Nothobranchius furzeri: one gene and its partners. The protein of the gene in region 3 interacts with the protein of the main gene of each other region in a pairwise test. Links are inferred from orthologs where the notes say so. Each region holds a gene or a part of one and is shown on either strand. Other genes may lie near its edges. The genes, in order: bend5, banp, prkab2, creb3l1, stx11a, pias2 and D-amino-acid oxidase.

What was found.
Region 1: the proteins of prkab2 (region 3) and bend5 interact in binary tests that used the Homo sapiens proteins (3 or more experiments, as listed by UniProt). The link is inferred for Nothobranchius furzeri from reciprocal best matches to the Homo sapiens genes PRKAB2 and BEND5.
Region 2: the proteins of prkab2 (region 3) and banp interact in binary tests that used the Homo sapiens proteins (3 or more experiments, as listed by UniProt). The link is inferred for Nothobranchius furzeri from reciprocal best matches to the Homo sapiens genes PRKAB2 and BANP.
Region 4: the proteins of prkab2 (region 3) and creb3l1 interact in binary tests that used the Homo sapiens proteins (3 or more experiments, as listed by UniProt). The link is inferred for Nothobranchius furzeri from reciprocal best matches to the Homo sapiens genes PRKAB2 and CREB3L1.
Region 5: the proteins of prkab2 (region 3) and stx11a interact in binary tests that used the Homo sapiens proteins (3 or more experiments, as listed by UniProt). The link is inferred for Nothobranchius furzeri from reciprocal best matches to the Homo sapiens genes PRKAB2 and STX11.
Region 6: the proteins of prkab2 (region 3) and pias2 interact in binary tests that used the Homo sapiens proteins (3 or more experiments, as listed by UniProt). The link is inferred for Nothobranchius furzeri from reciprocal best matches to the Homo sapiens genes PRKAB2 and PIAS2.
Region 7: the proteins of prkab2 (region 3) and D-amino-acid oxidase interact in binary tests that used the Homo sapiens proteins (3 or more experiments, as listed by UniProt). The link is inferred for Nothobranchius furzeri from reciprocal best matches to the Homo sapiens genes PRKAB2 and DAO.

Annotation. Positions count from the first base shown.
Region 1 is NC_091748.1:56,169,897-56,173,396, forward strand, and holds part of bend5 (BEN domain-containing protein 5), read right to left. Parts: intron 2,750-3,500; coding exon 2,601-2,749; intron 1-2,600. UniProt on the Homo sapiens protein: Acts as a transcriptional repressor.
Region 2 is NC_091744.1:74,128,674-74,132,173, forward strand, and holds part of banp (protein BANP), read right to left. Parts: intron 3,334-3,500; coding exon 3,193-3,333; intron 1-3,192. UniProt on the Homo sapiens protein: Controls V(D)J recombination during T-cell development by repressing T-cell receptor (TCR) beta enhancer function. Binds to scaffold/matrix attachment region beta (S/MARbeta), an ATC-rich DNA sequence located upstream of the TCR beta enhancer.
Region 3 is NC_091751.1:56,442,070-56,446,140, forward strand, and holds the start of prkab2 (5'-AMP-activated protein kinase subunit beta-2), read left to right. Parts: upstream 1-1,271; 5' UTR 1,272-1,390; intron 1,391-1,450; exon of another isoform or gene 1,451-1,613; intron 1,614-2,591; 5' UTR 2,592-2,615; coding exon 2,616-2,774; intron 2,775-2,875; coding exon 2,876-3,033; intron 3,034-3,377; coding exon 3,378-3,471; intron 3,472-4,071. UniProt on the Homo sapiens protein: Non-catalytic subunit of AMP-activated protein kinase (AMPK), an energy sensor protein kinase that plays a key role in regulating cellular energy metabolism.
Region 4 is NC_091754.1:48,074,172-48,077,671, forward strand, and holds part of creb3l1 (cyclic AMP-responsive element-binding protein 3-like protein 1), read right to left. Parts: intron 611-3,500; coding exon 478-610; intron 1-477.
Region 5 is NC_091758.1:20,330,304-20,334,336, reverse strand, and holds stx11a (syntaxin-11a), read right to left. Parts: upstream 2,801-4,033; 5' UTR 2,666-2,800; intron 1,548-2,665; 5' UTR 1,543-1,547; coding exon 673-1,542; 3' UTR 296-672; downstream 1-295. UniProt on the Homo sapiens protein: SNARE that acts to regulate protein transport between late endosomes and the trans-Golgi network.
Region 6 is NC_091757.1:20,892,958-20,896,950, reverse strand, and holds the start of pias2 (E3 SUMO-protein ligase PIAS2), read right to left. Parts: upstream 2,801-3,993; 5' UTR 2,708-2,800; intron 1-2,707. UniProt on the Homo sapiens protein: Functions as an E3-type small ubiquitin-like modifier (SUMO) ligase, stabilizing the interaction between UBE2I and the substrate, and as a SUMO-tethering factor.
Region 7 is NC_091757.1:45,692,506-45,696,638, forward strand, and holds the start of D-amino-acid oxidase, read right to left. Parts: upstream 2,801-4,133; 5' UTR 2,684-2,800; intron 2,299-2,683; 5' UTR 2,292-2,298; coding exon 2,098-2,291; intron 2,016-2,097; coding exon 1,901-2,015; intron 1,562-1,900; coding exon 1,485-1,561; intron 1,104-1,484; coding exon 1,038-1,103; intron 623-1,037; coding exon 568-622; intron 443-567; coding exon 338-442; intron 270-337; coding exon 187-269; intron 58-186; coding exon 1-57. Other genes in the region: ssh1a (protein phosphatase Slingshot homolog 1), read left to right, coding at 4,022-4,133. UniProt on the Homo sapiens protein: Catalyzes the oxidative deamination of D-amino acids with broad substrate specificity. Required to catabolize D-amino acids synthesized endogenously, of gastrointestinal bacterial origin or obtained from the diet, and to use these as nutrients.

The DNA of each region.
Region 1 (3,500 bases), on a different chromosome or scaffold from region 3:
TGCCTTCACCACTGGACTGCCATAGCCAATACAGTAAACACCTTGCCTAAGACAATAATGTAGGCACGTTTTGCCGCAGCGGGTGTGGGCGTTTTATTAAACGTTTTACTTCTGGGTATAAATTCAGGCCGATGTGTTGTCAAAGGTTTAAAATAGCATGATATGCAACCATTAAAAACAATACCTTTGTTTTGTTTGCTATTCCAGACTACTAAAAATCCGAGCCACTTTAGTGTAACACTTGGTTTCCTCCATGTTCCCTATAGGCAGACGTTTAAGTGGAGGCTCACTGTGTCTACCACCTCTTAGACCCTATACACACGTAGTTGGGTATCACAAAAAGTGAACATGTTTTCTACGGTTTGGCCTGTGATCCACACAACATTGAAGATATAGGACACCAAAAATGATTCATTCAAAAAATTTGAACAAAGTAAAGATTTGTGAATTCTCTGTTGTCAGCATTTGCTCGTGGATGTAATTAACTGGGGTTATAGATTTCGCAACATCACTAGCCGCGAAAAACATGCTCTGACCTGTGCGACCTGTTTACACTTGCTTACTTGTTTTTACAAGCGTGATTACTGCTCTATTTAGAAGACCACACTCAAATGATGTTAAGGATGGTTATTGCCCACCAACTAGTTATTCCCAAAAATGTTTTTCAGCAAAGATGCCAGCGATGTGGAGAACTACTGCCACCTACAGTCTTGGCATGCCTATGAATCTGTGGGGTTGGCCCAAGGTTTTTTCTAGATGGGTGGGGGAGGATATTTGGCTTTAGAAAACCTGGTTATGTGTGTACATGGCCTTAGACCTAAAGAAACTAACATACTAATACATTTATTTCCACAAACTTTCTACAAAGTCTTTGGGCATGCCATGTTATTTGTGTAATGTTAAGAACATTTCTGTCTGGAACGTTATCATCAAAACACTTGGCTTTGCATGTGACAGAAATAATAAAAGCCTTTATGAGTCACATCTCAAATCTAAGCAATAAAGTTAAAATAAGCTCTTTAAAAAAACATATGAAGTAACAGGACAGTAAAACAAGCTCAGGTAGATGACACCAGTATCAGCCACCGCTGACTCCTAACTGCAGGTTTAAACAGGATGGCCAAGTGAAGCTTTAATATAAGTGTGTTGTCCTCCTGATGGTCCAACAGCCATTTGTAACTCTTAGAGCGTAGCTAATCCCCCTCAGAGCTATCAGCTCTGTGGGATCTTAGACGGCACGGTCTCAAGTAAATCAACTCTGATACTGATGTGCTCACACACAATATCAAATACTTCATCTAACAAAGATCTAAAATTCAGTGATATGGTCTCAGTGCTGTCTCCTCTGGAAATCTGTCAAAGAGACACATGAGCCATGTGTTTATGTTTTTTACAGCCAACAGAACAGAATGGGCTGTGCTTATTTGTGCTGTCCTAAATCTCCACAGGAGTTTAAGGTAGTACCAATTTTTAAATAAGCACAGTGGACGCTAAAGATCTTTCAGTTAGTTGACAGTCAGGACAGATCATCTCAGCCATGCACAAGATCTTTCACGTGCTGAGATAATAAACGTGGGTCAACGTTTGCAGCATGGATCAGCTCCGTTTTGATCTTAGCCCTTCTATACATTATTAGCGCACCTAGCATAAATCACCACAAATGACTCAAAGCTGATCATCAGAGCCAACAGGCTGCCCTGGTCTTCTAGGTGATCTAGTGCACATGTAACTCTTTTCTGCCTCTATTCTCTTATCACTGTAAAGTCTTTAGTCTAGCATCCAGGAGCTTTCCCCGTGCAGCTAATGTGCTTTACGCCGCGGGCCAGCAGACAAGCTTTCTACTGCCCTTAAGTTAGACCACACTGTTTTCATCCTCCCAACACTTTGGTGCACTCTCACTAGGGCTAACCTGTCAGTCACTTTAAATTCCTCTTGTGCAAATAATTAATATGGGTTCCCTGATGTAGGAGTGTTCTAATTTGCAAGTGTTCTTCACGCTTGGAGTGGCTGAAGGCCCCAGAGCTTGTAGTACCAATTCTCCTCCTGTCATCAGAGACAGGATGCTGGTTGAGTTACAGCAGTGAGGGAAGGAAAGAACCCTAACAGGCTAATAAACACTGATGACGCTGGCTAGGCTGGCAGGAACAATAATAATCTTCTCAACCTTGTTTACCTGCTAGGACAGGGAAGCAAAGGGGAAAGAACAGATCGAGTTCAACAGCATGCTCCTGCTTTCGTGGTTGTTAGCAAGGAGAGCACGGTTTCCTACAGGAATCATGCTTCTTTTTATGCTCGCACACAAACAAATAGCCAGAGATACAGTACGTTGGCATTAGAGGATACTAAGGTTACACTTACAGTTTTTCTGTTATAGCGTCCACATCAGAGGTCAAGTCAGACATAAAATAGATTGTTTTTATTTAAACCAAAGTTCTGGTTTACTGCAGATGGAACATTGACACAATAAACATTACAACGGCCAACAAGGAGCACCACGCAGAAGACAAATAAAGTTTGGTACAGCTAACTGAATCTCAGATCAAAAGGTAAAAATAACAGCACTATGTGGAGGACAGTGCTTTCAGTGGAGTCAGTCTTACCTTCCCATCGTTGCAGGTGTACACTGTTCTAGGTGAGGGCGAGTAGCTGGAGCTTGTGTTGGCTTCTTCTCTGCACATTTCCTGGGTCTCAACAATAGGTTCAACCACTTCAGCCTTGATTGTCTGAGTGCCATTGTCATGCATAGGCTCTAGAACGCAAAAACAAAAATACTTAACATTGTGTAAATACACGTCTAAGCGCTGAATTAATCATCTACCAGCTTTACAAAAGTAAAATACAGCAGTTACTGGAAAAGCACGCCATTGATTAGAAGCCATTGCCACCTTTATTTCCTGCTGTAAAACTTCCTGTTTACATTATTCCTGCCTCAGGCCTGGGCTTCCCTGTGGCTTGAGACAGCAGGTTATTTTAGCCCAGTAACTAAGCTGGCTTGGTAGCTGGCCATGCTAAGCTCCAATGCAGCTGATGAGTTTTAATATCGGTCAGCGTGCTCTACTTCCTGACTGACAGAATCCCATGGTGCTCTAATCTTTAGCCTGTCCATTAGATGGTCTGCCCAACAGGTACCTCTGTTTGGATCCATGGGGGGTCTGATCTTTACCACAGCATCTGGAGCTTAAGGACTTGGACACACAGCAGTGTCAACATAATATACACACAACCCATACATTTAACTCAACATTAGATTTGCCAGATTAGAAATGAACCAATCAAAATTTTATCTTTTATCTATGTTACATAATAGGGTTGTCACGGTAACCGGTGTAGCGGTAAACCCCGGTAAAAAGGTTGACAATAATAATAACCGTCTTATTTTAAAAAAAAAATTATCTCGGTGGATTACCGTGGATGCGGTGTAGGCGCGGTGACCCTTACCAGCCACCGTATCATCTGCTGAAGTTGCCGGCGGCACATGCGCACTTTGTTGTTTACAACCA
Region 2 (3,500 bases), on a different chromosome or scaffold from region 3:
TTTCTGAGTATTTATCTTTGTTTTGAATAGCTGCAATAACAAACAAACATTTTTATAAAGGAAGCATATTTGTCTGCTCATATAACTTATAAGAGCATTAGAAACATCAAAAATATCATGTTGTGGTACATTTATTTTAATACTTCAAGGGTCCCTTCATTAATACTACTTAGTGATTTTTTAGTCGTGAATAAACTATCTAATAAAGTATTAACTGCTTACTTAGCAGACAGTTCACTAGCTGTCGGTTGCTGTCTACTTGAATAGTGTTTTTCCACAAATGTGAATTCCATAACTGGATGTACTGTACAGTTTCTTTCTCTTTCCCCCAAACCTATTGGTGTAAGAAGTGTGTTTAAATTAAAAACTGATGATAAACCACGTGTCAAAAATGAAAACATTACCAGCTTGCAGACATGGTCTATGGAAGGCAAAAACGTCACTGAGTGTTAGCCCCTACCTTATCTCAGAGATGGAAACAATTAAAGTAAAAAGAGAGGAAAAATGCAGAGACAAATAAATACATCAGACTGAGTAATTTTTCAGTAAGCTTTATAAATGCAACCACATGTCTGGAAAATGATGAGAGCCCTTGATTTAATATTGCTCAAAAAGGTTGAATGAGCAGCACTAGCCTTTGTCTTAACTTTGGCCCACAAAAATACTATCCAGGATATCAAAACACAACTGTGATAACAACACATCCATCTTTTTAAAAGCTACACACTATTTTGAGACTTTTGGAATTGTTTTTATTATATATGTTAGGGTGAAAGGATCACATTGAACCACTAAGATGCATTCTTTAACACTTTTTTTCCCTCCAAATAACATTTTGGAGTGTTGTACATCGATCAACAAAAACCGCCACATGGCCTTAATGAACCTCCAGCTACACCAAACAGCACATGGATGAATGATCAAACCATTTCTGTTGAGATCCAAGTTCAATCCAACGTTATATCCAGCTAAAAGAAGGGGGCTTTAAAACCTGAAAAGTCTGTTTCAACAAATCAGTTGTGTAAACAAACAGTCTGATTGCGCCAAAGAGCATGAAGCGCACATCTACGGAGACAGAGTGGTGATCTTTGTGGACGTGAATGAATACACATGAAAAATAATTTGAGAGTTATCAGTTTGTGTGGTGCTCGCCCAAAAATCACGATCAATATCAGCGTCTTCCCAAACACACAGGCACCGAACCAATTACCTAGTCAACTAAGGACAACAAAAGGACAACAAAACAGGATCTTTTTGAGCGGGCAAAAACTTCACAGGGAAAATCCAAAGGTTGCTTTCTGGCTGATGAGCACATCTGCTGTCTACATGAGGTGAAAATGATCAGAGTACAAGATACGTCTACAGCGGAATTAAAAACTGTCGTAAATAATCTCTCAGCTTTGTTTATGTAACAACAGAACAACAAACACTCGACTAAGAATTTAAACAGCACTGATGGCCCTTACTGCTTCACTTAAAGGGAAAAATGAAATGAGACATTTGATATTTTCAGGGAGAACAAAAGAAGAAAAAACAATGCCAGAGAGCTGTTGTTTTGAATCCCTTGACCACTTCAAAGGCCGGCCCGCCGTGTGCCTGCACACCATCTTGATTCAACGTGTTGCTGTTGCTCAAAAAGGGGTTTCACTAAATTTCACCTGTTTCACTTCACAAGACTTAGTACATTTTTTAGTTTAATTGCTGTTTGACCATCTCCCAGAATGGCTGAACATTAAGGGTACTTTCTTCAAGAAAAAAAAAAAAGACAAAGCAGAATGAAAAAAGTAAAGATGATGACGAGAATCTGCAACTCCATGTCCAAGGCATGGATGTTAGTGAAATAACATCCATGCCTGGTCTATTGTGTTCAATAGTCTATTGTGGTCAATCCACCTCTATCTGGTCTTGGCCAGATAGAGGTGGATTGCCAACTCCGGTTTGGAGGGACTTACCTCTAGTGGAGGAGTTTGAGTATCTCGGGGTCTTGTTCAGTGAAAGATCAATCAGCAGATTGGAGCATTATCTACCGTGATACAGACACTGAACCAGTCTGTTGAGATGATGAGGAGCAGTGCAAGAAAGCAAAACTCTCTATGAAGTGGTTGACCTTTGTTTCAATGCTCACCAATGGTCATGACTGGATCAGTCTTAGTGACAGGGTGAGGAGATTGAACCTCCAGAGAGAGACTTATAGAGTCTTTGCTCCTTCTCATCGATAGGAAACAGCTGAGGTGGTGTTAGTGCACTTGGTCAGAAAACCTTCTAGATGCATTCCAGGGGAGGTGTTTTGAGCATGTTCTTCCAGCAGGAGGCCCTTGGGTCAATCCAGAACACAATGGGATGATTGTATCTATGTTGGCCTTCAAACAGATCGGTGGAGGACGCAAAGCCTCTCTGCTGGGGTGGCTACCCCTGCGACCCTTACCCGAATACGAAGAAAACAATGAAAAAACAAACCAAAAATAGTAAAATAATAAAAACACAGTAAATGTTCACCTTGAGTGTAAGACTGGGCGATAAAACAAAAGCAATATTAAATTCAAAATAACTTCACCATTTGAGAATGGGTTGATAGAACTTCGACATTAGTTGAGCCACGCGGCTCAGTATCAGCCAGACGGATGCGCTGCTAACGGCTAATGTTAGTGTAGTTCAACCTGCTGCTGCAGTTAACAGCTTACATGGCTGGTAAAAACAGATTAAACAAGCGCCCCAAACGGAAAAAATGAATGACGTTGAAAATAAGGGACCAAACATTTCTGTCGTGTGAACGTAGTTTGGCTAGCATCCGTAACTGCAAAGCTAATGTGATGAGTGCAGGTTCTGAAAAACTCGAGGGAAACCACCAATCTGTTTGAGCTCATAAACCAAATGTCATCGCTGTCATCTCGTCAACAACTCATTAGTCTTTTGCTACACGATTTCAACAATAGACGAGAGATCATTATCAGTAAAATTAACAGTACAACTTAAAGACAACTCACAATAAATAATACAACTCAAATTGAATATTTACCATCAGTGAAGAACAAGAGGTAAGTAAGACAGCAGTTTTTATGAGCTGTCTGAAAACAAGCATTACATAAGCAGAGGTCTGTTTGATCTTTGGTATTTTAAGTGCCTTTCTGCCGCAAACTTAATGTGGTAATAGGTGCCTGAAACAGTTTGTTCTGGTTTGTGGTTTTGGTTTACCTGAACAGATGATGCATGGTCTGCAACAGGAGCTAGTTGGACGTACTGCACCTGGATGTCAGGTGGGAGGGATGAGCCTTCCACCGCTGCGGCTGCGCCATCAGCTGATGCTACAGCTATCAACTGAGCTCCACGCAGCACCTGGAACGGTCAGTAAGAGAGCAGAACCGTCGATTAGTTTGGCTTTTTCTCATCAAATGCAATTAATGGTTTCTGAGTCCATGCGACCATGCTTTTGGATGTAGGTTTTGCCATTTTACTAGGTTGCAACAGTCTTCCAGGTCTGTGTTGTTTCACATCAAAATGAA
Region 3 (4,071 bases):
AAAGAGGACAGTGAGTGGTTTCTCTTTACATTTCTGATCAGCAGTTTGAATGAGACCCAAGCTGTTTTTATTCAGAGTTAATATTATTTATGTTTTCTGAAATCTGATGTAGACAAATGACTTTATATGCATGTTTGAAATCACTAATGTCTTTAATAATAAGCATGGATTTGTTGAGTTGAGAAGTTGCTGTTGTTAAGTTAACTGCGGGAGAAAAAGGTGAGGAGTCGAACGAAGCAAAACTAGTTATTAATGTGTTTACAGAAAGGAAACCCAATAGAAACGTAGGCAGCTAATTTTGCATTTGGAGGTTCTGGTGACTTCTTGCTTATAAGTGGTAATTTCTGTTTTTTTACAGTGACTGTTCATTGGTGTAACAGGTTTTCTACTTGTCTCATGGATAAATAAAAAAACTCAAGATATTCTGATATTTTACCTTATTATCTGCATGAGCGCTTAATGAAATTTAACTTAAGTATAGCTTAATGAATTGCAACTTGAGGAGGAGACCAATTTAATGCTGTTTTTTTTTTTTTTTTTAGTATTTATTCTTATGGAGAGTGTCAAACATTGGTTGTAAGAATAAAAGGTCTGCAAAGTTTTTAAGCCAAAAATCAACACTGCCTGGTCTTTTTTGTCCCTTCTTTGTTCTCATCGGTATGGACCTTATTTGCACGATGTTTGCTCCATGTGATCAGCTCAAACTAAACAATCAGCTGGCTTACCCTCCACCATTTTCACCTGAAATAATCAATGGAAATAGTGCATAATTTCTGTTTTTATTTCTCAGGATCTTGAAAAATTTTAGTGTTATGATACTGAGATGTTAAAATAGTTATTAATGTTAACTAAAGTTTAAAAGTGCCCATTTAAAGCAACAAAGCATTAAATTAATATAATCAGCTTATAACATCTGAAAAATGTCTTGGGCAACGCAATGTATTTTGTTAAATATTCTAAAGCATTGGCGCTACTAGTTAAAATAAAGCTACTTTTAAACTTCATTGTGAATAATGTGATTTTTTTTTCAGAATGGAATTTGTTTACTTTGTTTCTTGCCTCCAAACGTAAACTACATTGATTCTAATACTTCAATTTCTATTTTTCCTCTGTGTGCGTTCTATAATTTTTTCATACAACAATGAAAAAGTTTAATTTTCGTTGAAAGAGGAAAACAAACGTATTTATTTAGATATTACAAAGGTAACAACCCCTCAAATGTAACTGACGTCACGTCTCTTCCCGTTCCTGATTGGCTAAAATCACTTTTTGGCCTCTGCGCTCGCCGTACTCGGAGCCCCGCTGTGCTGCTGTTGTGAAAAGTGGAGGACGCGGACAGGTCTTCGGTTTGAAGACAAACTGCTGTCCTGAGGAGCGGCAGCTGGTGCTTGTGAGTGTCTCCTTTGTAGCTACACGGGAAACCAAAAGCGTTTCTATTTAGCTGCATAATTTGTGTCGTTAGCAGTCATTATTAAAGCAGACAAGTCGTTTTTGTTTGTTTGTTAGTAGTGGCTGCTGGTAGCTAGCTAAGTTGAACTGCGAGCAGCATCTAAAAATATTCACCCTGGCTGAGCTGAGGTGGACAGGAACAGCCTGACGTCCAGCGGGCAGTGGTGGGTTACGTTGACTTTATGATACGGCACATGTGGTTTCACCTGTTGCTCATGAAGCTAGAAAAGCTTTTTAAAGCCGTTAAGCCTTTGGGCTAAACCACACAGCTCACCGTTGTCATACGCAGCAGTGATGCACGCACAGTTCCAGTCATTTTAACACATCAGTTACTGTGTTTTTGCAGCAGTAACACTGGACTGTGGACAGCTGTTTGCTGTCATCACGTTCTGATACAAACTGGGTCTCTTCATGACACCTTGATCTCCTGATTGTGATCCTGTTGTCTGTTTAGATGTCTTCAGCAATGGTTTGGGTCAGCTGATCAGGCATGGGACTTGGGTTAGTGGTCAAATACAAATATTTAACATTTTTATCTAATATGGGATTTTAAATAGACTTCTAATTGGACTGATTTATATATTTGTAAAGTGTAAAATCATAAACTAAAACTTTTTTGTGTCTTTGTAGTATCTTGATTCACATGTGTTGTGTTAACAACAGCGTTATACATTTGCAGGGTCTCTAGTGTAATGTAAGGTGCAGTTCTGGGAAACATTGGTGGAGTTTCTTTGCTGGCTGGTTCTAGTCTATTTACTGTATTACAATTTTATCTTGCAAATTAAAACGAGAAATTTAAAAGCCATTTATTTACCTCAAATAAATGGTAAATGGCCTGTATTTGATATAGCGCCTTCTAGAGCCCTGGAACCCCCCAAGGCGCTTTACAACACAACCAGTCATTCACCCATTCACACACACATTCACACACTGGTGGGGATGAGCTACGATGTAGCCACAGCTGCCCTGGGGCGCACTGACAGTAACAGACAAATAACTTCTTTTTAAGTTCCCTTGACAAAAGGCAAATTTCTTACTAACAAAATTTTAGTTGCATTTTAAGCTGTGGTTGTTAGTGTCTAAACGGCTGGAGTTTTGTAAAATTGGATGTTCATAGCAAAACAATTCTCCTGACCTTGCAGTGGGAAGTCAGGCTGTGAGGCATCATGGGAAACACCAGTGACAGAGTATCTGCTGATCGCCATGGAGCGAAGGCCCAACGCTCCGACAGCAGTGGGAGTCACAAGGACCAAGAGACCAGCAGCAAGTTGGTGGACAGCACAGATGACCCTAACATCTTCAATACCCATGGACCTGAGTCAAAGGTAACCCTCCGGCAATTCCGACTAGGGTGCAGAATCGTTTCTTTGCTCTGTGTGATCAGTTTTCTGAATATCTATTGATGTTGCACGTTTGCTGCTTCTAGACATCAGGAGAAAAAGAATTCACCCCAGATCTCGACGACTTGGTTAAAACTGGTCCTCAGGCTCGACCCACTGTAATCCGCTGGGCTGGAGGGGGAAAAGAAGTCTACATAGCCGGTTCTTTCAATAACTGGAGCACAAAGATTCCACTAAATAAAAGGTAAACAAATTATTTTGTAATTCTATCTCACTAGGAGCTAGCTCAGGGGTGGACAACACTGGCCCTTCAGGGCCACTATCCAGCATGTTTTAGCTATTTCTCTGCTCCAACTCACTTTGTTTAATGGTTGTGTCACCTGCTCAGTGGCTTATTTAGCTTGTTAATCACCTGCTGATCAAAATCTGTAGTGTTGAAGCAGGGAAACGACTAAAACATGCTGGATGGCAGCTCTCGAGGACCGGGGTTTTCCCCCTCTGAGCAAGCTGCAGGAGTAGAGATCACTTAAATGTTTTTATTCAGTTTAGATTATCTGGTGTTGCACTTAAACTCTTTTCTTTTTGAAGTCACAATGACTTTGTAGCCATTCTGGACCTGCCTGAAGGAGAGCACCAGTACAAGTTTTTTGTAGATGGACAGTGGCTCCATGATCCATCCGAGGTACAGCAGACCCACCTTTGCTCTGCTTGTTTTTCTTATCATTCACCATATTCTCAGTGCCTCCTAAATTAGTCTAAATGTCTCAGAACAGTCAGTGTGTTTACATGCACATCAGAAAACCAAACTGTTGCCCTAAGTAGACTGACGTGATTTTTTAAAATCACGTAAACATGTTCGTCTTGCTGAAGGTGAACTGGTTGTTATCGTAACCAGATAATGCGGTAGAACACAACTGCATCTGCATGTAAACGGCTCCGCCAAGCTGATACTGGTAACTGCTGAATGTGACGAGTCTGCAGAAGTGGTCTTCTGACATTATCACCACAAAGTAACAAGAACCAGCCGTCTGGACTTTGCGCAGCTGAACCGAAGTAGTAACTGGATCTCTTTGACTTTGACACCGCTCGTCTTTGGAGATTAACGGATGCTCCGCTTATTCTGACGAGCAACGTTAACAGAAACACAAACTAATGACATTAGCAGCTGCCCGCTCCAATTGCACAAAAACGTTTTGTGAAATTATTGTAACAAGACTGTTACCGCGGGTTACAACAGAACTACGCACCACACCGGCGTTATCACTTTCATACACATTTATTT
Region 4 (3,500 bases), on a different chromosome or scaffold from region 3:
CCATGGCAACACCTGACAGAGACACTGATGTGAGGTGATGAGATGGGCGAGATGACGACAGACTGAGCAGAAAAACCAGGGTCCTGCATCCAGTGAGGCTAGCATGAATCCCTCTGGGGGCAACGGCAGATGTTTGGAGGTCTCAAACTTGGCAAAGACAAAGAAGCTGCCTCTTATATCATGATGTCTGACCTCTGAGGTCTGGAAGGAGCTGGGTGTGACGTCAGGAAGGCGTGACGTTTAGATACAGTAGGTGCCTGGGCTGTCATATCAAAACAAACGTCTTTTATAAGCCTAAAGTTGGCTGCTGAAGGGCTCGTGCTAATCCAGAAAACAAACATTATTTTAGAAGTCAAAACAAAACCACTAATGCATTTGAATAAAATGGTTAATTTTTAAACGTGTTTCCACTTTCTTTGGGTTTGTTCTTTTATTTTAAAGCCGTCAGGAGTTTTGTGCTGATTCTATTGAACTCACCTGGGCTGCTGTCCATGCTGAGGTGTAGAGGAGAAGATCTGTCTGCCAGCAGGGGGCGCTCTTGCAGGTGGTCGTCAAAGAAACTGTTAAATAACTCAGTGCTGAAGTCGTCCATCTGGTCACCTGAAAAGGGCTGGGACACAAAAACAGCAATAACTAACGTATGACAGCCTGATTCATAATAATCTTGGTGAAGTCGCAGGTTGAAGATGGATTTTCTTAAGTCAACCCAACATTAGCTAACCCAGGTTTTCCACCGGATCTCTACGGTAAAAGACACGTTTTCGCCATGACTTTACCGATGCGTCGCTTCCTATCATGACTGTTTCAGGTGTGCAGCAGCTGCAAATGCATTCCTCTTATCACAGAATCACAGAACGACAAGATCACATGTGATTTCACTAGATAACAAGCAAGGAGAAAGATAGCTTTTGGTTTTATTTTGTTCATCGCTTTATGACACCTGTTTTAAAGGGACAATGTGTAGTTTTTATTGTTAATCTCTGGAAATATGATAAATGGCCCACACTTGTATAGCGCCTCTCAGAGTAAGGACTCCAAAGCGCTTTACATTACAGTGTATCATTCATCCATTCACACACTGATGGTGATGAGCTACGATGTAGCCACAGCTGCCCTGGGGCGCACCGACAGAGCTGAGGCTGCCGAGCACTGGCGCCACCGGTCCCTCCGACCACCACCAGCAGGCAACGTGGGTTAAGTGTCTTGCCCAAGGACAAGATATGTGTGTGTGTGTGTGTGTTAGCAGACAGCTGTACCAGATAATAGGCACCGAGGTTAAAGTTTGACAAGAATCAATACATTGTTATGCATTAATCTACTGATTTATGTATATAATTTCTCAGCTTGAAGTGAGTTAACTTGTTAATGTTTTACAGGAGGAAAAATATCAAAATATATATCGTATATCGGAATTCAGCCAACAGAGATACAAGTTTTGGTCCATATCGTCCAGCCCTAAAAGGGAGTCTGATGTGCCTGTTATTTTTCTCAAGTTTGCACTCCCAAGGGCTTTTTGACCCTCCCAAGGGCTTTTTGACCCTAATAGGCATCCGTTGGTAAGGTCTTACTACAGCACAAAAATGCAGCTTGCTTGCAACAATTTAGGCATCTACTGCCCCTATCACCAGGAAAAATACACACTGTCACTTTAAGGTTAACCAATAGGAAATCTGCACAGGTATTTTGTTTTGTAAGTTGCTTTACACTGCAACGTAAAAAACTCAGAGCAATGCTGCGACACTTTGCCTCTGGTATGCTATCGAGACGCGCTGCTCCGTTCCCGGTGGAAACAAATTCCAAATGAGCTGTGCTGCAGCGTCGTTGTTGTCCATTCCTTTGATCATATCCCGCTTTGCCTTGGTCTGCTTCACTCCCACCAGTGCTTGTTTACTATTTGCATTGCTATAAGCTAACCAGAAGAACACTACCTACTGTACCGGGGTGGAACGAACTTCACCTGAGAGTTCCGCTTTCTTACGTACATGTAAACAGGGATAAAGGTATTAGTGGTCAAATTCAAAAGTCATCTTATAATGAAAAACAGGAAAAGATGGAACAACGAAATTCCAGAAGAAAGGAAGCCTTTAGCTAGAGAACATCTCCCAAGTCTCCCTGGGCTGCCACCTTACCGTGGTGGAGGGGTTTGAGTGTCTCAATGATCCTAGGAGCTAAGTTGCCTGAGGATTTCTGCCTCTGGTAGGGTCAGCCATGGCAAACAAGTCCTAGGTGAGGGATCAGACAAAGAGCAGCCCGAAGACCTCTTATGATGAATTATATAAATGGAAACCATGTTCCATCGCCCAGACGTGGGTCACCGGGGCCCCCCTCTGGAGCCAGGCCTGGAGGTGGGGCATGTTGGCGAGCGCCTGGTGGCCGGGCTTTCACCCATGGAGCCCGGCTGGGCCCCCTTCCCATGGGCTCACCACTCGTGGGAGGGGCCAAAGGGGTCAGGTGCAGAATTTGCCCAACCAGTCTACATGTGTTTCATGGATTTGGAGAAGGCGCTTGACAGCGTCCCTCGGGGGGCCCTGTGGGGGCGTACTCCGGGAGTATGGGGTACCAGGCCTGCTGATACGGGCTGTTAGGTCCCTGTATGACCGGTGTCAGAGCTTGGTCCGCATTGCCGGCAGTAAGTCGGGCTCGTTCCCAGTAAGTGTTGGACTCCGCCAAGGCTGCCCTTTGTCACCGATTCTGTTCATAACCTTTATGGACAGGATTTCTAGGCGCAGCCAAGGTGTGGAGGGCATCCGTTTTGGTGGCCTGAGGATCAGGTCTCTGCTTTTTGCGTATGATGTGGTTCTGTTGGCTTCATCAGAATGTGATCTTCAGCTTTCGCTGGAGCGGTTTGCAGCCGAGTGTGAAGCAGTTGGGATGAGTATCAGCTCCTCTAAATCTGAGACCATGGTCTTGATTCGGAAAAGGGTAGAATGCCTTCTCCGGGTCGGGGATGAGGTCCTGCCCCAAGTGGAGGAGTTTAAGTATCTCAGGGTCTTGTTCACGAGTGAGGGAAAACTGGAGCGTGAGATTGATAGCGGATTGGTGCTGCATCTGCAGTGATGCGGGCATTGTACCGGTCTGTCGTGGTGAAGAGAGAGCTGAGTCAGAAGACGAAGCTCTCGATTTACCGGTCGATCTACGTTCCTTCCTACCCTCACCTATGGTCATGAGCTTTGGGCAGTGACCAAAAGAATGAGACAGTAGATACAAGCGGCCGAAATGAGTTTTCTCCACAGGGTAACTGGGCTCTCCCTTAGAGATAGGGTGAGAAGCTCGTCCATTCGTGAGGGGCTCGGAGTAGACCCGCTGCTCCTCCACATCGAGAGGAGCCAGTTGAGGTGGCTTGGGCATCTGGTCAGGATGCCTCCTGGATGCCTCCCTGGTGAGGTTTTCTGGGCATGTCCAACCGGGAGGAGGCCTAAAGGTAGACCCAGGACACGGTGGAGGGACTATGTCTCTCACCTGGCCAGGGAACGCCTTGGGATTCCCCCGGAGGAGCTGGC
Region 5 (4,033 bases), on a different chromosome or scaffold from region 3:
CCCTAATCTGAGAAAAAATCCAGATTACCAAAGAACTCTGGTACCAACAGGAAGTCCCCTGCTCTGGCTCTGAGTGTTTGTACTGACACTGATTCAGGTACACGCCTGAGAGAAAAGCTTGTGTGGATGTAACATGACACCAATCAGACTCCAGACGCTGGAGCTAATCTCATATGAAGCAACAAAAGCTCCGGCATAAAGCTGGAGCAAAACGAGGCTTGTTGTTCAACACGAACGCAGCTTATCTCCCAGCTAACCACTAATATTTGTGTTTCTACACACTTGTTGGCCAACAGCTGCAGCAACGTCAGCTCCAGCTTTTGTTTTTTTTTCTCCCATTTTAATGGTCGCCGTTTCATTCCAAAGCAGTAATTTAGAAATAAATCAAGTTTTACTGAATGAAACATGCATTACCCGACATAAAAAGCTGCAATGACATATCTTTGATGAGACGTGGAGTCATGTGGGTGCTGCAGAAAGTAATAATCAGTTACGATCAGGAAATGCAACAACTCGATTACAACTGAATGCATTTGTATGTGAACAGCGCGGTTTGAAATGACTCTTCCTCCTTCTCAGACCAGCACAGTACGTGAAAATGAAGTGAGATGTCTGACGCTGACCCCGTAAAAGGAAAATTATAAAGAGTTCCAGTTTAAATCTGACCAAGAATCATTTACAGCACGGGAAGCAGCAGCAGAAGAGTTTCTTGCATGGGTTGTTTTCACTGTATTCTTTAGCCTGTGTGATTTGAACCGTTGCCTTGGCAACGTAGTCCTGAGTAGAGCAGACGTTTGCTTCTATGTTGTCCAGCATGCAGCCCTGCTCCTCCACCAGCTGAGCCATCTGGGAGAAGAGCTCGTGGATGTCTCTGATGCGACCCTCCAGCTCCAGCAGCTCCTTGTGTCTGCTCTCTATCTCGCTCAGAGCAGATCTGGTAGTCCTCCCCTCCAAAAGGAGATTATCCGAGAAGACGTTCCACTTCCCGCTCTCGATCATCTCGTCCAGCTGCTCCCTGGTCACCTCCTTGCCCATGATCTCCGCCTGCCTCTGAATGCGGGTCTTACAGTTTTCCCTCTGGATCATTTCGGCCTCGTTGTACTCAGACATGGCCTCGTGGAAGGCCCGAGTCAGAGAAGTGTACTGTGAGCGCACCATACGAGACAGAGCCGACGTGAAGCCGTGTTCCTCTCCAAGCTTTTTGCTCAGCTTTCCAAGCTTCTCCAGCTGGGCGTAGATGGCCTCCCCCCTGGCTTTGATGTCCCGGCCGAGCGCGTTAGAGTCCCGCTTGATGCTGCTAAACCTCCTGACGGACGTGAGGAACCGCGTGTTCTGCTTCGCCAGACGCTTCACGTCAATTTTCAGCAGCTGCAGCTCCTTCCTCATCATCTGGGCATCTTTGTAGATGCCGTCCATCACATCTTCACCTTGAAACACGATGGCCAGTGACTCTGCGACCTCCTCATCCTCAAAGACTGTGTTAAGCTCCTCCTCAGCAGGCTCCGGGGTGACGGTTTTCAGCTCAGATAGTCGGTCCTTCATTTCACCTGCAGCAAGAGTCAGTTCGATCTGTTATTTTCTAAAATATATGAAATGTTCCGTCGCTCTGAGATGAGCGGAAGCTGGACATATCTCCAAAAGACAAAGATCTTTGAGGCCCAGTTTGCAGTTTTGTCTTCTGAGTAACTTAAGAGACGAGGAGAGTAATAGAGTACAATAAAAACAAGATCTGCTTTCAGACTGACTCCAGATATCTGACACAACACTCTTTTAAGCAGCATCTTAGGAGGTTCCTCAGGTTGTCAGGAAATAATAACGCTGCAGAAAAGAGGAACAGTGCTGATCATCATGTGGCCATGATTATCAACACGAGACGGGCTTTTAAGCTTCCTCGAAATTATGTAAGATCTTCAAAGTGATCCGAGAAATGTGGTAACATTTAGTCTTATTTGGTGCATTAAACCAGAGGTGGCCTTCGGACAACAAGCTGGACCAGAGCCCTCCTAGAAAACACAGATCCTAATTAAACTCTTATAAGCTGCTATGACACATTTAGAATCAGCTTTTTGCTGCTGTTACTCACTGGCTGTGACGTAATATGGACCATTTTATTTTTGGAAACAATAAAAGTGGGGCAATCATTCAAAAATGTCTCATTTTTATCTTTATGCATTTTGGACTCGACCAAATTCTTCCTGGTTACAGAAATGATGATCAACCATATAAACACACCTAATTAAAAACCATTCAACTCTTATTATACTTATCTCGTCATAAAGCTGCTACTGCTCTCACTTTAATTAGTTTTGATTGAGTTGCGATAAGATAAAATAGGTGTGGACGCTTCTCTGGTTATGAATGAATAATTAAATAAATAAATAAACTGATGGTTTAGAAATAATTTCAGGCGGTAATGTCTACAAAAGGAAACTGCTCTGTTACTTCCTCAGATTGTGACGCTTTCAGCTGCTAGTTAGTCTCATCTGTCCTCCACATGCTACTCACATTGTGTAGCTACTTCAAACTATTTCAAGTATTTATGAACAAAACAGAAACGAATAAGCATCTAGTGATCTGATGGGAGGAGGTAAACGAAGAAACTAAGAGGAGTCTTGTAAACTACGCCAGGTTACTTGAGGCGATAAAACCAGAGAAGTAAACGTACCTTATGGCGGTGCCCTCCTAAAGAGAACTCTCCTTAGAAACAGAAGAAAAGAAAGACCCGTTTCCTCTTTGTGTCTCGGTTACATTTAGACATTTCACCAACATCAACCACAGTCTGAGTAAAGAGGTGTGAGTGTCACCAGCCTCCTGACGCCGCGAGACCAACTACGCGGAAGATCAAACCCTGCTTTGAGTTCAGGAAGAACTTCCATCAAAGGGGTCCGAATGGAAGTTCTTCCTGAACTCAAAGCTTTTACTTAAAATGTATTGTGAATAAGGGTGATTTAGAAATGTTAAAATGACGTTACGTAATTATAATTGATTGCATATATCATTTTTCTGAATAAACAAATTCATCAAATTAAATCAGCTGTTGTGATTTACTCAGATTTTCAGTAGCTTTTTAGCATGCGTTTTTTATTAGTATTTGTTTTTATTTTATTTATTTGAGTATTTCATACATTCATTGTGAAATCCAAAGACGTAATGCTTTTCCTGTTTGAAACAAAAAAAGGACCTTAAAAAATCTATGTATCAATGTTTGAGTGTTTATTAGATGCAATTGGGTGCTTATTGTTCTGTTGAACTCATAACCAATATTTTTATATCTGACATGTTTGATTAGTTTGGTAAAATTTCGTAACTGTTTTACATTGCCAAAAAACAAACCCTTCTGCCGTGTAGTTTCGCCCTGTGGCCGCCAGAGGGCGGTAGATCTGCTCTATTTGCTGTGCTGTGGCTAGCTGCTTTTAGCTCCTGCTGCAGCTCCTTGATTTAATCGAGTTGAACACAGATAACTAAAATTGATTTATTGCGTTTTAGTAGTTTATATAAGTGAAGACGCTCTGGCTTTCCTGTAAATTGGACTAAACGCTGTATTGAACGCTGCAGTACCCACTTGTTTCCAGCAGAGGACAGAAAATCTTTACTCTCCACAACCAAATAAAACAACAAATCCCACCTCTTCTGGATCTGTTCACATGCTACAACGTTTTGGAAAGACTTTAGCAGATTTATTATCGGACAGCTCTGCAAGGACTTCGTTTTAAAATGGGAAAATGCTGTATTTTTTTCGCAAGCAGAGAAAGGAAGATGTATACTTTGTTATAAATTTGTTAATCTAGCTAAATTCTATCTCCACAAATGCAAGTATAGTAACCAAAAACCTAATTTCAAGCACTATTATAGTGACACTCTATCTTGCATAAAATTGATTAGTGGATCACTAAACAAAAAAGCTTTAAAAACTATAACTATTTGCACCACCTGTAATTTATTTGGATGTGTGTAACATTTCTGTAGTGCACCCCCTGGCATATGTTTCATCTTCTTTGTTCAATTTTGTATGCAATTTGTTTGTATACTTATC
Region 6 (3,993 bases), on a different chromosome or scaffold from region 3:
GATTAAAACGATGATGCCTCACACTTAGATCGTTGTCGCTGGTTTCATCTTCACCCAATCACCGGTCACGTTTAGTAAAGTGAAGCCAAACTTTAGAGCGCGTTCATGTTCATCTAGTCGGAAATTCGGAGTTCCGAGGAGAAAGCGAACGCACCATTAGCAAAACGGAAGCTAACATATCAAGGTAACGTTATCTTAAACATTTTATTTACCTACCAGAGCAGATTAAGATGATGACTCACTTAGATCGTTGTCTGTCGCTGGTTTCATCACCCAGTTACCCGTCACATTTAGTGAAGTGGACCCAAGCGTTAGCGTGCGTTCTTCTTTCTACCATGCTGCTCTGATTACAACTCGCTCGCAGGGACCGACGACATAACGCTCTTGCGTATGCGCAGCTTTCTTGGCAAGTTCTCGTTATGAAGGACGGGTACCGAAACGAGGCACCGTTTGAAATGACGTTAATCGGTGCTCGGTCGGTACTATAGAAAAGGTGTTCCTCTTCGGAACGAAAACCTCGTTGTCGCTCTCAGCCGCAGCCGAAGCCATGTTTGCTCACACACAGGTGAAAACAAGCGGGGCACTAATATATTACTATGACTCATTCTGATTGGTTAAGGGTCAAACAAAGGCGTGTCATTCGCCTGGGGTAAGTTCCCTTTTCATTCAGAGGCAGAAATTCAACAGCAGAATCGTGATAAAATGGTCTCTCAAAAATGACAGACCGTCAGATGTATAGATCGTAAAACAGTCTAAAATCGTCATATCGCCCAGCCCTACGCTGATGGTGGCGTCACTTCCTACTCCGTTTATCCTCGGGCAGCAGAGGACGTTGTCGCCCTCTGCTGCCCGATCTCCCCTCTCCGACGATGCAGTCCCATGCGCGATCCAACGAGTAAACACCATCGTCTCTGTTCATGGTCCCACATCCACGTCTCCTTATCTCGATAGCTTCTTTTATGATCCTTGTGTTGTCCCAGTCCATTATATGCTCTTCTCTTGTGCAGTGATCTGTTACGGCTGACTTCTTTATTGTGCTTTCTGCTTCTTCTTTTGCTGCTCTTGTGTGTTTTCGATTTGCCTCTTTCTCGCACTCCTTTATATGTTCTATTGTTCGTGTGTTGAGTTGGTGTCCGGTTTCTCCTACGTATGTTTTATTGCAGAGTTTGCATGGGATTTCGTAAACGACTCCACATTTAAGTCCAGCTAGTATCTTGTCTTTTGGGTGTACTAGTCTGTTTTTAACTGTTGTGTATGGTTTTGTTGGTGTGTTTATGTTGTGTTTTTTCATTGTTGCTCTTATTTTTTCTGTTATGCCTTTGATGCATGGTAAGGTTATCACTGGTTTTGGTTCTTGTCTTTCTGGGTTTCTGGTTCTTTGCTTTGGTTGTTCTTTTCTTTCTGTTGTTGTTTTCCTTTGTTTGTTGCCCATGTCGGGTAACATGCGCCGGCTACCTCGCTTTCCCGTCTTCTACGATGCTTTCTTCTCGAGCTGGGGCGGACAGAGGGCCGACACATCTCGGCTTGGGGGGGGAGAGCACACGGGCAGTCCAAACAACAACACCATCCGTGAGGTTCCCAGCGTGCAGCGCCCGCTACATCAACAGGACGAAGCCTCAGCAGCGCAGTTCGATCATAAGTCACCAGAGAAGCCACACCATTCAAAAAAGCATTAGACACAACAAAAATACATAAAAAGCCAATAAAATCCAAGGTTCCACTGCGTAAAGAGGACGAGCAGCTCGCTGCATGCACCTGTGCAAGCACCATCTGAACTCAACCCCCCCCTCCTTTTGTCACATCGCAATTTAATTGCACATGCAGTTAATCGTTCAGCCCTAATATGCATGCAGCTCTATGCTAAAAGTGTATTTTCAAAGAGGTAATGATGGATTTCTTTGTAAAAGTTGTCCATCTTTCCAATAGAAAGATTTGCCTGGACCAACGTAACGTGATAACAACGTAACGTGATTACGTAATTCCGTGAGGTTCATGTTCAGCCAATCAACTACTTTGACGTCATCGGCAGTCGACGGACCCCGAGCCGATCTTGCACCCGAGCAGATCCTGTACCGACACCGTCTTCTGTACAGTGAGCTTAAATAAAATGCCTTATTATTTTTGTTATTCTACTTCATGACTGTAAGCTGTCATAAATAGCTTCTATAACCCAACCCAGCATCTTCTCGCTATTTCTCTGTGGTGGAATCACCTGTTCAGCAGTTCATCACGCGCTGCACAAGCCCATAGACTACAACCTAACGTGTTGGAGAAGAGACACAAAACATGCAGGATAGTGGCCCTGGAAAGCAGGGTTAGTGTTCTCCTGGACTGGTTACACTGACTCGAAAGGTCACGGTTATGTGTAATCATAATCTAACTAGCAGAACAAGTACTCCGTCCAAACACCGCATAACCAGCTGTTCCTAACCCTGGTTGTATTCAACAACGTGTATGTAATACGGTAGCTACAAGTACACTCTAGCGGGAGGTTTTCAGCGGCTCACAAACACATACAACACATCTGTTAGCATAAGAGCTAACCAAAAAGCACCAAATATCCGAGTCGAAACTAAACCCGTGTTTAGTTTTGAGTGTCTCAACCAGAGATAAGGGGCTTCACACAGGAGACGCTCCGTTTAAAGGGAAACAGCAAGCGCTTCGTTGACTGAAATTTGTCAGAATTAATGTGAATGTTTTCACTTACCTGTAACTCTCGGTAGTCCGCCATCTTGATATGCCTCATTTCTTCTTCGTGACTCTCGGAGGTTGTCTTTGACCCGCCCTAACAGAACGTTATCGCCGCCAAGTGCATTGAAAGACCGGAACCAGAAACAGGAAGTGGAAACTTGTTTTTAATTGAACATCAATCACATTACACTTTAATAACAAACAATAAAACTCAGTAGGCAACGAACAGCTTTTATCAAATACAATTGGAAAAATGTCTAAGCTGCAGAAATAACAAGATTTATAAATGATAAAGTATAAGGTAAAGTAACAGACAGAGGACTTTAGTTCAAAAGATCTTCAACAACACTGACAAGTTCAACAGCCTGTATATTATTTACCTTTTTAAGGGATTTGCAAAAAGTAATAAAATCATTTTTGGAAAAATGACAGGCTTGGCTTCACTTTCATAAAACTGCATTTGTGAATAAAGAATTTCCCAAAAATTATCAAACTGTTAACAATGAATTGAATGTGTTTGTTTTTTCTATAGAGCTCCGGGAGTTGACGTCACTTCTCCCAGCATGCAACAGTTCAAATCGAAACGGCACCATTTTGGCAGGCAGAAGCCGGCAGCTAGACTATGTTATAAATCTCACACGGGAAATATGGTCGATTCCTGTTGTGCCCCAGGATGCCAGAACAGACGGGGACAAGTCAAGGGAAGATCCTTCTACAGGATTCCCCAAGATCCGGAACGCCGCAAACGTTGGATCATTGTAATAAAATGCACTGGTGACCGGGCTAAAATGGAGCTGTGGGACCCCGAGAGTAAAGGATTTCACTTATGCAGCGACCGCTTCATATCAGGTACTTAAACTAACGTTTCCTCAACTGTGTGTGGTATTTATTTTTAAATGCTTTTATTACGATTCTTAGCGGGCTTCCTAAACTTATTTTGGCGTGGCTTTTTCTGTCTTATTACTCATAGCAACAAGTAAACATCACGTAAAACGTTGCCTCGTGATTTCTGCGTGCTGCCGTTTCCGTGTTTTATGATCACAGCAATTAACCGGCTAAGCTGTATTTAATTTTTAAGCAATGGTTGATCAAGTGTCAGATCACACATCAAAAACACTTTGGATTGCAATTATCTGTGTCACCGAGACAGCTCTCAGACAGATCCTGAGACGTTCCTGCCTGACATATTTATTTTATTCACGGAAAAAAAAATCAAACTAGTGATTTCTCTTGGCGTTCAGTTTATACATTCAAACAGCACAGCACTCTATTTAAACTACTTACGTGTAAATCTGTTATTTG
Region 7 (4,133 bases), on a different chromosome or scaffold from region 3:
TTCTGTTCGCTCCAGTTCCCGACCTGGAAACATCCTCCAACTGTCACAAGACGACTCCTGCAGACACAGAAATGATGACAACTGCTCTTTCACTTTCTGCTTCTAAACCAAATATATGTGGTCAGAAAAACGAATTAAGCACGTGAATTGTATAGTTTTTAATCAACGTTGTGTTACGGGAACTACCCTGGAATGATATATGGAGTGTTGTAGGTTCCAGCTTTATTGCTGTGGGTGATAATCCAGTGTTTCAGCCATGGAGCGTCCACCTTAAACACAAAGAAAAGTTAAAGAGCTTTGATGCATTCTGTATAAACTTAAAGCTTCTCGCACTCACCTTTATGATTTGGCCACGGCCCGGTTTAAGATCCGGGTCCGGCTGGAGCTCTCCTGATCTGACCCCGGTGCAGTTTACGATCACGTCTGCCCCCGAATCAGACAGCTAAAACCAGCCAGGGGCAGTTAGAGACAAAACTGTTACGAGATAACATTCTGAATAAAAACATGATGAGATGTTTGAATGGAAGCAGCTCTTTTCATCTGTAGTGATGAAAAACACCCACTGACCTCTTTAAAGGACTTGATCGTCTTGTGATGAAATTTGACACCTCTTTCTTTCAACCTACAACAAAGTTTGAACATTATAAAAACAAAAAAATATTTTACTCACAATAAAAAACAGAAAATGGAAGATTTTTCATGATAAAAATCACAAGATGCTCATGTGCACAAAACATTTTTTATTAATGATAAAAAAGTAAATAATAAAATCAAATTACACAAGATCAAATTGAAATTTAAAAGAAAAAAAGGTCATGTGTATAGTTAATTATCAGATGGCAACCCAATAATGCACGCAGCATTTTATATGTAAGTCTGTGGATAAAGTAAAACAGCCGTTTTTGTTTTTATCAGAGTAGAAAAAAGGAGCACAAATCGACCCAAACAGCTTTTATATCAAATGCACCAAACTAAATGACCTCGTATCATTAAATGTTGAATAATGCAACCGCAGAAAAACGGGAGAGTTCACTCACCAGTCCATCAGCCACGGTAGGTAGGATTTACCTTCCACCATGAGGGCTGTGTTAAACCAGCCATACCTGGACAAAAGTAGCGTGTCAGTCAACATTGGACATGAAGGAGACCAACTCGTCCATTTTTGTGTCCCATTTTCAGTAATTGGTGCTTATTTAATCTATTACCAAACAGGGAAAAATATAAACACAGCAGCTGCTACAATTTATTTAGACCAAAAATGTTCATTTAAATTGTTTTACTAGCTTTTTTGAGTGTTCAAGTTTGTAATGATAAATAAATGTTTATGTAAGTTAAGCAATTGTGGCTTTGTTTGTGCAAATCTAAATACTGATAATGATGGCACACATATTCGTGCATGAGTTCACTGCACCACTCAGATTAACCCTGGTCTTATATAAAACAGCAGCGGTTCTAGTTTAACGGGTCTCGCAGGGAGAACTCACTTGTATCCAGGAAACATCTGCAGCTCCCTGTCAGTGAGCTCTCTGAAGCCCAGAACGATGTCCTTAAATGAAGGCTCCTGCAGTCAGTAACAAATTATTTACACTCAGACCACAGCAGGAGAAACACACAGCTGAGTTAGCATTAAGGATCTCCATTGGTGCAAACCTAACCCTGACTGAGGCCTCTTGATTGGTGTTTATTAACCATCCCTTGTGTTGCTGAACAACGATTTACTGGAGTTCACCTGAAAACCGTTGGACTTTATTATCTATGGTGAACTGATAAACTTATGTAATGATCTATTTGGCTGTTACACTTTCTCGCTGCAGGGGTTATTTGTTCTTGTAAAAAGTTATGGACAGCTCTTATGTTTCCTATTTATAGACACATTTCCAAAGATCAAAGCAGCACTAACCGGAGTAGGCTCCTCACAGAGGTTGTAGCCCGACTGAAGAAAGATTCCCATTTTTATAGAATCCGGAGAGCTGAGCCATTTCAGCAAGTAGTCAAAGGTCATCTTATTCCACATGCTAAAGGTGATGACACACATGGGGGTTAATATGGAGTCAGTAGAGAGGAACCTAAGGTTGCAGGAGCAGAGGCTGCACTCACGTCTCCTGGATGTTGCCCTTATCGTGGAGGTAGGGCTGCCAGAAGCCAGCGGCTCCATCGCTGGTGGTCAGGGGAGTGAAGCGGTCTGCGTACACCTCAATGGTCAGAGGACTGACTGTGGAGTGGAACTGCTGGTAGATGCTCTGAGCTGTTGACAGGCCAATGACTCCAGCTCCGATCACTGCCACCCGCATCTCTGCACTAAAACACAACTGTTACCCACCTGTGTGCACAGGTACACTCCGAACAGGTGGTGAGGAGATTTAAGTCTGGAAAAGCTGCCATTCTATTAGATTATTTCTATCTGATTATAATGCTGATTATTTTAGACAGTTGTGAATGAAATTAGAGATGAACTGACATGATTTAAGAAATGAATCCCCATGATAATAATTTGAAAGTTAGTCATGGATACCCTGCATAATGGATTGTGCAACATGCAAGATAAATATGGATTTTTGGTTTCAAGAATAAACAGAATTATAGAAAGTTACTAAAACTTGCGACAGAGCTGCAAGAGCTACAGAGTGTCAAGATCATTTACTGAAATACATAAAGCAGACGTGTCGGAAAAGTTTAGCCTTACCTCAGATCAGCTTCAGGCCACCACAGGAATTCTCACTGGGGATCACATGGGAGGGCGGAGCCTGCTGCTGCGTTCACGTCTCCTCGGTCTAAAACACAATCAGAATGAGGAGACAAAAACCAAAACCTAACATGTCACAGGGACACAAATGCTAGCTGTTGCACGAAAGGGTTAAAACATGCATTTATTTGTCATTTTTAAGGTGGTATGAGTTAATATGGTTGAAGGTTTCAACTGTTTCCGCCTCTGTCAGCAGGGCAGAGTGGCTACCATTGCAGCTCATCATCATCAGTGTGTGAAGGTGTGTGTGAATCGGTGTGAATGAATGAATGAAACGCTGTAGTGTAACGCGCTTTAGATTCCTCTGATTCAGAAAGGCGCTATACATGTGGGTCATTTATCATTAAAATGATAGATTACATTAAACAGCAGCCAAAAAGTGATACAGATGATGATGGTGAAGCCTTGGTAATTGCTTGTAGACATAAGCGTTGCTGCAATAAGGTCAACTATAGCAATTAAAGTGGAATAACCAGAGTTACAGCTGTACCAAGGAGTCTTCATATATGTTGTTTTAGTACAGCTGTGGTTCACACATCATAGTTCAAGGTGATCTTGGAGCATGATAAACAAGCAGAAGGCAGGAAGATTACAAATTACAATTGACCAAACCAAATCAAGAGTACTGACAAAGCAATGGATCCATCCAACTTATGAGAACAAAGCTGAGAGAGCAAGAAGCTAAGATGAATATTAACAGAGAGTTTGAAGAGAACTAGGAGCATGTTCCCAAAGGAATGTGCTCTGTAAAATAAAAAGATGGAAAACAACCAATATTAAATGGAAACAGGATCAAGACAAAAAGTACTCTGACAGAACAGTGGTAGATAAGTAGCATTAAAATCAAGATCAAGTTTAGAAGAAACAATTCCATGTTACCAGTTGTACTAATAAAAAATTCAATTGTCTTAAGGTTATTGCAGTTTTTTCATGTAAGTATTTCATTTTCCTTATTTTGTCAATGATTTACTGTGTTTGTGTAAGGGTATGTAAATAAATAATAATTTTAAATTTAATAATTTTAAAATATGGCATCGTTATACCTAAATTTATAGGTAAATGAACCTGAATAAACTAGTGAACGTTTTAATTTGTGCTGTCGTCAGGGTGTGATGGGGCTGTGAACGCATCACTTCCTGCGCATGCGCGCGCTCGCACACACACACACACACACACACACACACACACACACACACACGAGAGAGAGAGAGAGAGAGAGAGAGAGTCCATCCTGCAGAATAGTAACACGGCTTCTCTCTCTCTCCTGCCCTCAGTTGTATGTGTGTGTCGTTAGCCCGGCAGCTAGCTGCAGCTCTCCAGGCCCCAGTGGCCGGTGTTTGGTCCGTTCCTGCCCAGCTACCAGCCATGGCGTTGGTGACAATACAGCGGT